Mus musculus: one gene and its partners. The protein of the gene in region 2 binds, or shares a complex with, the protein of the main gene of each other region. Links are inferred from orthologs where the notes say so. Each region holds a gene or a part of one and is shown on either strand. Other genes may lie near its edges. A codon is read from its position in the direction of its gene.

Region 1 (2,734 bases), on a different chromosome or scaffold from region 2:
CACGGCTACCCAGGATGCCCAGATGTCTACCAGGCCCTTCCATCCACAGAGGTGGTGGCAGGAACAGCAGCAGCACAGACTTGGGGACAGATGGAGGCCCTCTAAAGAGGCAGAGGGAGAGGCAGAGGAAAACAGGGGCACTCCCTCCCTGCCAGCCCTTCTAATTGGCCACATCCGGCTAAGCTCTAAGTGGAGAGGGGCTGGGTGTGGCAGCTGTATTATTCCATCGGTGCAGGGCTGGAATGTGGAAACCAGATCCCCCCCTCCCCCGGAGAGGTGGGGTGGGAGCAAAGTACAAAGTCACAGAAGTACAGGGAGCGGTTGGACAAGAGACCTGTCAGGCAGGTCTGCACCATGCCCCTCCTCTCAGGCCATGACCTCCACCCCCAGTGCCCCTTACACTAGACAGCTGACAGCCATGGCATGCCACAGTGAGAGAGCAGCAGCTCTGACAACCCAGTACAGGCCAGGCAATGTCCCCAACTACAGATGCATGAAGCCAGTGGCCCTGGGTTACAAACTCCAAGACAGAAGAAAAACACGAGAGAAGCTGCCCATGGATGAAAGCTGAGACGTCAGTCAGCTGCCTTGCTTCTTTCTCGGGTCCCCTGTCCACCTTGCCCTGAATCTCCACTTGTCCCAGGTCCAGTTCAATACCTGCTAGAACCTGTGTCTAATAAGACTCCCTACCCAAAAGGTGAGGGTGGAGAATTGGAGGCCAAAGATCCAGAGTCCCCAGACCCCAGCCTCTCTCATCCTGCCCCACTGAGCCCTAGGATTTGGTTGCCCAGCTGTTTCTCTCCAGGTTCCCATGTCTGTCTCTAGAGTAGGATGGCTTACTTAGTGAGTGTGGGAGTGGCTTCGTCCAGAGTGGAGGCACTGTGAGAGCCGTTGACCATCTGGCCCTGAGAAGGCATGACGAGGGACAGAGTCACACTAGTCTTGCTGGTGCTCTGGGCACTTGAGTAGGGCACAGAAACAGGGTACACACGGCCCCCTGCAATAGGAGAGAGAGAGAGAGCAGGGGGGGAGGGGAATCAGTCGGAGGAAACCAAGGTAGTGGCCTCAAGGCTTCTCTTGAGTGACAAGGGCTATGTGAGGGCTGAGAGGCCCCTAAGCCCCACTGTGGCCCTCCACCCCTGGGGTGGCCCAGGGTAGATGTCCCTTGGTACGAGTATCTTCCAGAATAGCAGTGGGACCTCTATCCAGCAAAGAAACCCACTGGGGATCAAGGTGGGAGTGGAATAAAGTGCTGGATGGGCTCTGAGAAAGGGCTACTAAACCTTAATACAGAGGGTAGACTGTTTCCTGTTGAGGCAGGCCCAATGAAAATACGGTTACAAGTGCAGGCCAGAGGGACTCCAGCTCCCCAGTGTCCATGGAGAGCAATGGGAGGTGAGAGCTCCACAGTTTGTTTGTTTAAAAACAGAAAAGGAAATGCAGCGCTTGGGAGCAGTACAGAAGGTCTCACTGCTGCCCAGGCAGCTTGACTCAAGGACTTAAAAGGAAAAAGGGATGGAGTGAAGTATCTCCACACAATGCCCGGCTGGGGCAGACCATCTGTCTCATACCTGACCTCACCCAGGTCTCTCCAGGCTAGAGCCTTTCTCCTTTCTGTCAAGGTTGCTGGTAAGGGTGAGAAGTGACAAGGAGGCTAGGAGGGACCTCTGCCATCTGCCTTTGTGACTGTACATGATATGCTCATGCAGCAAGACTTCCAGGATGGTCAGGACAAGTGCTCCTTATTTTACAGACAGAGTAAAGACCTGCAGCTCAGAGTCCAGAACTCTACAGCTGGAGTTGAGCAAGGCCAGCCCCCTGGCTCCATACGCACTCCAAGCAGCCAACTTCATGGTATCAGCCCGTCCGTGTTGCCTCCAGCCCAGGACTCATCTCAGGTGTACCTACGTGGCATACATACCTGGGGCAGGGGTCGGTGTAGGCTGGCTCATTTCACCCAATGGATAGCCAAAGTTCCTCACCAGCAGGGTCATGTCTTCATGCCGTGGGCAGAACTTGGCACGCTCCCCACCACTGGCAAAGGTGTCACTGTGGATCCGCTTTACACGGTCTACCACAGCCTGGGCAACCGCATCCAGGGAGGTCTGCTTGGCAAACTCGGTGTCAATCATCGCGGCAATCTCCTGGGGTGTGGAGGGAGGACGTGATGAGGAATCAGGGTGATCGGGGGTGGGAGGTGAGGTGGGAGGGGGCTGTGTAGGAGACTTAGAGATCACTAGCCCAGCAAGAGAAGGGAGTCTCTGCCAGTCAATTGCAACCTGAGCTTTCCAAGCTGTTCAGGACAATCCTTCTGGAACGCACTGATTAGAAAAGGTGTGGGACCTTGTGCTCTCCCTACCGGCTTCCACACCTCTAAGTGGGTTGTCGCCGGAATTACATAACTCACGGGTACAAGGTTACTCAGGACTGCTAAGAAACGCAGGGTAGAGGCTGTGGCTATGCCTTTTTCCCTGGATAAAACACCCGTGCCACATGCAGGGCATTTTGTAGGAACTGCCTGCCCTGTCTGGTATATTCTAGAACCTAGTAGATGCTTCTACTGTGAAGACCAAAAGGGAGAGAAACAAAAACAAACCCATACTGAAGGATCAGCCAAGTGTGGTGGTACATACTTGTACCCCAACACTCAAGAGGCAGAGGCAGGGGGATCACTGCAAGTGCCAGGCCATTTATAGTAAGAACCTGTCTCAAAGGGGAAAGAAAAAAAGAAAAA
Region 2 (2,985 bases):
ACACAGACAGAACTGTCTCCCCACTCCATCATGCACGGTGCTCCTTCTGAGTGCTCCCTGGAGCAGCACTGCACTCTGCACACAACGAGGCAGTCCTAACTGCAGAACTGACCTTGTGCTTTATGAAGGAGTATGACTGGGGGTGGAGATGTGGCTCCATTCCTGGCAGTCCCTAACTAGGCCAAAAGTAAGCTATAAAAAACTCCTGTCCTAGTTCTGTGCTGAAATACGCCAGACCCTCTTTATCCTGAAAAGATGCTGTAAACGTAAAACCGCCAAGCACCTCAAAGCTCTGTCAGTTTGAAGGCTCTGCACTCTGTGTCTGCAGCCCATCAGGGAACATACGCATCAGAGACCCTGGCAGTGAGCTCAGAAAGCTGCTGGCAACCATCCACGAGGGTTTTATTCAGACAGGTTCTCATGTAGCCCAGGATAGCCTCAAACTACCTACACAGCTGTGAATAACTTTACAGCCTGGTTTTTTTTTGTTTGTTTGTTTGTTTTGAGACAGGGTTTCTCTATGTAGCCCTGGCTATCCTGGAACTCACTCTGTAGACCAGGCTGGTCTCGAACTCATAAATCTACCTGCCTCTGCCTCCCCAGTGCTGGAATTAAAGGCGTGCGTCACCAATGCCCGGCTTCAGTCTGTTTTTTTTTTTAACCTTAAACTTTTAATCTGATTCCCAAGTGCTGGGATCATAGGTATGTTGGAAATATGTGTGAGTCCTAGGTCCAATCTCCAGCACTGTTAAAAAATATTACATAAACGGGACTTGGTAGCACATGCTTTTAATCTCAGCACTCGGAAGGCACAGACAGATGGATCTCTGAGTTTAAGGCTAGCCTGATCTACAAAGTGAGTTCCTCTGAGTGGCTACACAGAGAAAAACCCTGGCTCAGAAAACAAACAAAACATGAATAAAATGAAAGCAAGCTCAAAGCCCACGCTAGCCTGCCCTGGACTCACTCTTCCACTCATCTATGAGAAGGTCCCTGCTTTCAAAGGACTGGTCATAAGGGTCAGCAACAGGCTCATCATCAGGGTCGTGGTACTGAGCAAAGTAGGCATGCGCAAGAGCTTGGGCTGCTGTGATCCTCTTATCTGAGTCCAAAACGAGCATCTTCTCCAGTAGGTCGACAGCTGTCACACCAGAAAAGAGGAAAACACATGACATCAGTGCCACCACTGTGCAAGTTCCAAGCACCTTTCACATCCACACAAAGCATCCTTTAAGGTGTCTGCTTCTGCATGTAACCCCTTCCCTCCATGTACGCATTGAATGCCTATGGCACATTTTAAAAACATTACTGAGGTTCTGGGTTTGAAACCCAGAATAATAAACAAACACCCCCTCCTACCCCCCAGCTCTCCTTCTCCATCCACCTTGGTTTTCATTTGTGGACACTGCAGGTGTGGCACACCACCATGGAGGCTTCCTTCCCCTCTCCTTATGCTGTGTGCACTCTCTCCCATTTCTCTCTAGTCTTTACATTTACCACCTCAATTGTTGGTAAGAGTGAAATTAGGCATACTGGGTGAGACCATGCCACAGGTGATGCTGTGACCTGGGGCACCACAGCCAGGAGCTCCATTTATGCTGAGCTAAGGTGGTTGGCATCTTGAGCTCTTCCCCGTTTCTCCCCAAGTGAATAATATGGGGAGATGGTTTGTCTCCTGGTGATTATCAGTTACTTTCAATAATGGCTTCCAGGTTTTTTCTCTCCCAAAAGTAAAACAGAAATAAACTCCACAAGTTTTTAGATTTAAGGTTTTTTTTTCTGTTTGTTTTTCGAGACAGTGTTTCCCTGTGTAGCCCTGGCTGTCTTGGAACTCACTCTGTAGACCAGGCTGGCCTCGAACTCAGAAATCCGCCTGCCTCTGCCTCCTGAGTGCTGGGACTAAAGGCGTGCGCCACCACGCCCAGCTAGATTTAAGTTTTAAGTATGTCTCCACTACAGTGCATGCCTGCTGGCTGAAAATCTAAAAGCCAGCAGAGGGCGCTGGATCCTCTGTAAGTGTAATTAAAGACAGTTGTGAGGCATCCTGTTGGTGCAGGGACTCAGACCAAGGGCCCCGTTGGCCATCTCTACAGCTCCAGATGATTTCTTCAGCGTGGAAGGCTCCATGGGTGTCGAGGAGAACTTCCTGAAGAGATGCTATACCTCTGCTCCTCTGAGTGATTATGTACCCTGTAGCCTGAACACCAGTTATCCACAGAAACGCAGGCTTTGAGGGTACAGAGGAAACAGCAAACATGCATACGCTGGCTCTCCAGTTTTAGAGTGCTGGAGGAGGGCTGGGATATAGCCAGTAAAGTTTGCAAAGTGTGCATAAGGCCTTGGATCTAAACCTAGCACTGCAGACAGTGAGCATGGTGGCACAACAGGCCACATGACTCTGTCTTCAACACTGAAGCACTGGTGGACTTCCTGGATACAAATCCTCACGTTCTACAAATCCGCTGACTTTATACTGAACATGAATGAGTGGGTGCCTGCTACCCTGGGGTAAAAAGAGGTCCACGTCCTCAGGATCAAAGCACTTAGATGAGGAACAAGGTCAGAAGTAAGAACAAGACTTTTCAAGTATGGAGGCAGACATAAATAGACACTCTAAGATCAAAGGGCAATGTGAAGTTCTCAGCTGTGTCTTGAGGCTAGCAGTGATGCGAAGCCTGTGACCGACAACAGGGCTGTTAATATTTATATCGCTGGTGTGCAGCCTGTTGGGGACGGCTAGGCTAGCAATCGGTAACAGCATGTTCCTTCTGACCAGCACTTGGCAATGGGCTGCCAGGCACGTTTGGATGTGAGCAGGCTGTGAAGAGCACCAGATGGGCCAGAGCCTCCTTTTAGTCTCCAGCAGCCTGGATTCACTCCTGTAAGGCAGCTCTTCTCAGTGTCTAAATGGGGATCTCTACCAGCTCCATCAGAGAAGACTCAGACACTGTGTACCGCACATCTGCTGGTGAGGATTCAGGGGTG
Region 3 (3,703 bases), on a different chromosome or scaffold from region 2:
CTGAACAGGAATTACTGCAGCCCAGGAACCTCCAATTCAACAAGCGACTTTTCATGACACCAGGCCAGGACTCCCTTTTTCTGAAAACAGACAGGCCCACAGCCTCCCAGACCTCTGGTCCCATCATGTCACAGAATCATATGAACGTTCTTAATCATTAAAAAAAAAGGACCATTTAAAAATTCCAGGGATGGATGGGTGCTGAGCTTGGTATACTGTATCTGTAACTCTGGTACGAATGGGGGGAGGCAGAAAGATCTTAAGTTTGAGATCAGTGTGAGTTAGCTGAAGCCCCACTTAAAAATAAAAATCCAGAGATGACTTGCTCTGAGGGTCATCCAGGCCAGTATATATGGTCTTCTGAGGTTGTGGTTTAAAAGGAGTGGCCCTGCCAGGCGTGGTGGCGCATGCCTTTAATCCCAGCACTTGGGAGGCAGAGGCAGGCGAATTTCTGAGTTCAAGGCCAGCCTGGTCTACAGAGTGAGTTCCAGGACAGCCAGGGCTATACAGAGAAACTGTGTCTTGAAAAAAAAAAGGCTTGGCCCACTAGCCAGGAGAGCAGCTTCAACACCCAGGGCTCCAAGTTCCCAATTAAGGTCCCATGCAGCTCTGTTCCCAGAGACATGGTGCATGGTACAGATCATGTTCATTAATTTTCCTAGCCAAATTCATGCTCTTCTCTTGGCTCTAGGTGCTAGGAGGCAGATACCCTAAGGTGACCTCAGGTAGGCTCAGCCAGCTGAAGGCACAGCACTGGAAAGGCAAGGGGCAGAGGAAAAGCGCCTTCTTACCTCAGATGCATCCCTTCCTAAAGCTCCTCCCTGGGTCTTCCTCTCAGCCAGCAAATCCTCTCTCGCTTCAGGCTTTTCCCTAGAGCCCTTCCTAATTCCCACCCACAACTCTGCAGTCCCTTCCATAGACTTTCCCCCTATTTCCCAACTTAAGGGCTGCATCTGTTACCTCAAGACCCTGATGGAGCTATTCATATTTCTATTATACAGTTATTGTGTGCAACAGAGCTACACATTAACTGCATATACAACACACCATATTATGTTATAAACTTGCAACCACATCCCTGTACAAGGGTAAGTCAACACACAGTTGCACAAAGGTGTCTGTGTTGTGGCTTTACCTTAGAGCAGATAAGTCACCTAATACGGACAGGAATCTTGCCTTTTGTTAAGTTCAATTAAGGTTATCTGCAAGGAGAGCCAAAGCCCCAGGAGGCTGTTTCTAGATCTTAACTGTAATGTACAACTTCCTCTTTCTGATAGGCTCTAAATAAATAGCAGGCCACCCTGTTTACTGACAAGTGAGAAGGGAGGTTGTGGGAGGGGCATGCTGGTCACCAGATCTGAGTATACTCTCTGCCTTTGCCCAACCCCAGACATGGAAAGAGGCCCACAGATGTTCCAAGGAGCAGAGCCTCATGTTTTTAGCCATGGAACAGAAAGCAATGTGGGTGATGGGAAGTTCTCCAACTGATTTATCTCAAGTGACGGAAGTCCCATAATGATGAAATTTTAAAGACTCAAATGGGGCTCAAACTATTTCTGGTTTGAAGTGGTCCTTAATACAGACACAAAACTTTGTGTGGGACCTCAAGGATTCCCCAGAGCAGTGGAAACGCATCCAGAGACAGGAGACTTGAAACCAGAAAGGCATGCTTTGTGAAAACCACCCTTGTTGCCCATATGATTCTGACAAGTTACTTGACTTCTGTGAGCCTCAAGGAAAGAATCGTGGGGTGCTAAGAGCCCTGCTGAGCCCAGCATGGTTGTGGGGATGGATGGGGTTATTTCAGAAAGTATAGCACAGTGCCTAACACAAAACTTCAAGTCTGGCTGCGATGCCTAATCTTGGTTGTCAACTTGACACACCTGGGACAAGGGAGTCTTAATTGAGGAATTGCTTCCATCAGACTGGCCCGTGGGCTTGTCTATGGGTCATTTCCTTGATTGTTCATTGATGGAAGAGGGCCCAGCCCACTGTGATACCATCTCTAGACAGGTGGGCCTGGTGTGTACTAAAAAGCTAGCTGAGCAAGCCAGAAGAAGCAAGGCAGTAAACAGAACCCCTCCACTGTTTCTTCTTTACGCTCCTGCTTCCATTCATGATGGACTGTACCCTGCGAAATAAAATAAACTTTTTCCTCCTCAAGCTGCTTCTGGTCAAAATATTCTATCACAGCAAAGGAAAACAAACTAAGACAATAGCTATAGTTATTTGTTCTGAAACTAAGGCCCAGAAGAGGGAAGGGTCTGGCTGGTGTTGTATGAAGGGTGGCAGAGGTGGAATAGGACCCAGACTTCTGGGTCCCAACAGTGTTCTATGCTTCTACGTCCAGCCTTGACAGTAGCATTTGCCACAGGCCCAATCGGCAAGACCTTGTCACACTCACTACAGAGCTGTGCAGACCCCAAGGCACGGTCGCAGCTGTTCCACTCCAACATCTCCCACAGAGTTGTAATCCAGCTGTAGGGCCACAGGCCGCTGGAGATGTTGCAGTACAAAGGCCAGTGCAGCACACTCTGCAGGGCCCACTCTGCAAAATGTCAACTTCAGGTGCCCGATGTCCAAGCGACGGACAGCCTCCTGGGCCAACTGCTCCTCCTGCATCTCGTACAGGCTACGGATGAGCCAAATGAAGCCCGGCATAGCATGCATGCTCTTGGTCTCACCGGGCACGGCAGGCGGGATGGAATGGAAGTGCTCGCGGAGGCTGTGGGCCAGACACGAGCGGGCACGTGCCTGACGCTGGAGCAGTACCCTCTCGGAGACCTGGCATGCAGCCAACAGGTCCCGATGCTGCTGGGACAACAGACCTGCTAGGAAGGCTGCTGTGATTTGCAGGTTGTGTGGCTCAGCCTTCTGCAGCAGGGCTGCTTCGCTGCCCTTCTTGACTCTGGAGCCCTGGATACACAGGTTGGGCAGCAGCCTTCCCAGCAGTGAGCTGCCCAGCCGGCCACAGCTGAAAAGGTGCTTGAGAGAGGCCACCGATGTGTCAGCACTGACAGCCAAGTAGAAAGCGGCAAAAAAGCACTGGAAGGTAATGTGCAGGAACTCCAGGGGCGCCTTGCTCCCGGGCACACTACTTTGGGCACGTACCAGGAAACCAAGAGAAATATCATCAGAGTCAACCTGAGCTGCCTGGAGCTGCTGGGCTGAGAACACATAGCAGCTCATGGCCAGGCCCCGGAGAGCCAGGTGGCCAAGGTGCAGGAGGGTGGAGAGCCGGCTTTGGAGGAGTCCAGGTCCCAGACCGAGTGGGGAGGAGTCCGGAGGGGAGGCATGCAGCAGGAAATGCTGCAGGATCAGGAGGTACATGTCCGTGCTGGTTGTTGGGAAGCCCCTGTTCTGCAGCAGAAGTTCCCGGTGGCATCTGGACACCATCCAAGAGAAGACAGGGAGGTGGCACAAACCATGCAGGGCTGAGGTGGCTTGGATCAGCTGGATGAGGCGGTCTGCCACCCCAGGTTCCCGGTGGTGCTTTCTCAGGTACAGTTGGATGCCCTCTTCAGAGAAGCCCTTCAGTTGCAACTCTGTGCGAACGAACTTCCTGAGGAGCGCTGACACAGCATCCGGACGGCTGGTCAGCACCTTGCAGGCATTCTTCAGCAGGTTCCCCTGGAGAAGGTTGAAGAGCAGAGTCTGGACTGACGTGGGGTCAATTGGAGAGCAGTGGCGCTCCCGGTCGGTG

The links. Proteins that work in one complex are often made in the same cells at the same time.
Region 1: the proteins of Mapk14 (region 2) and Tab1 are in contact, whole or in part, in a crystal structure (PDB 4LOP), measured with the Mus musculus proteins. Residues at the interface, in NP_036081.1 of Mus musculus: Gly110, Ala111, Asn115, Ile116, Cys119, Gln120, Lys121, Leu122, Thr123, Asp124, Asp125, His126, Phe129, Val158, Asn159, Glu160, Asp161, Cys162, Leu217, Thr218, Gly219, Arg220, Thr221, Leu222, Asn272, Val273, Phe274, Ile275, Gly276, Ala277; in NP_079885.2 of Mus musculus: Val385 (codon at 989), Tyr386 (codon at 986), Pro387 (codon at 983), Val388 (codon at 980), Ser389 (codon at 977), Val390 (codon at 974), Pro391 (codon at 971), Tyr392 (codon at 968), Leu405 (codon at 929), Ser406 (codon at 926), Leu407 (codon at 923), Val408 (codon at 920), Met409 (codon at 917), Pro410 (codon at 914).
Region 3: Mapk14 (region 2) and Nod2 share a complex: the UniProt entries of both Homo sapiens proteins name them as parts of the signaling complex. The link is inferred for Mus musculus from reciprocal best matches to the Homo sapiens genes MAPK14 and NOD2.

What each region holds. Positions count from the first base shown.
Region 1 is NC_000081.6:80,157,014-80,159,747, reverse strand, and holds part of Tab1 (TGF-beta-activated kinase 1 and MAP3K7-binding protein 1), read right to left. Parts: intron 2,145-2,734; coding exon 1,922-2,144; intron 998-1,921; coding exon 841-997; intron 1-840. UniProt on the Homo sapiens protein: Key adapter protein that plays an essential role in JNK and NF-kappa-B activation and proinflammatory cytokines production in response to stimulation with TLRs and cytokines.
Region 2 is NC_000083.6:28,743,139-28,746,123, reverse strand, and holds part of Mapk14 (mitogen-activated protein kinase 14), read right to left. Parts: intron 1,142-2,985; coding exon 968-1,141; intron 1-967. UniProt on the Homo sapiens protein: Serine/threonine kinase which acts as an essential component of the MAP kinase signal transduction pathway.
Region 3 is NC_000074.6:88,664,215-88,667,917, reverse strand, and holds part of Nod2 (nucleotide-binding oligomerization domain-containing protein 2), read right to left. Parts: coding exon 2,405-3,703; intron 1-2,404. UniProt on the Homo sapiens protein: Pattern recognition receptor (PRR) that detects bacterial peptidoglycan fragments and other danger signals and plays an important role in gastrointestinal immunity.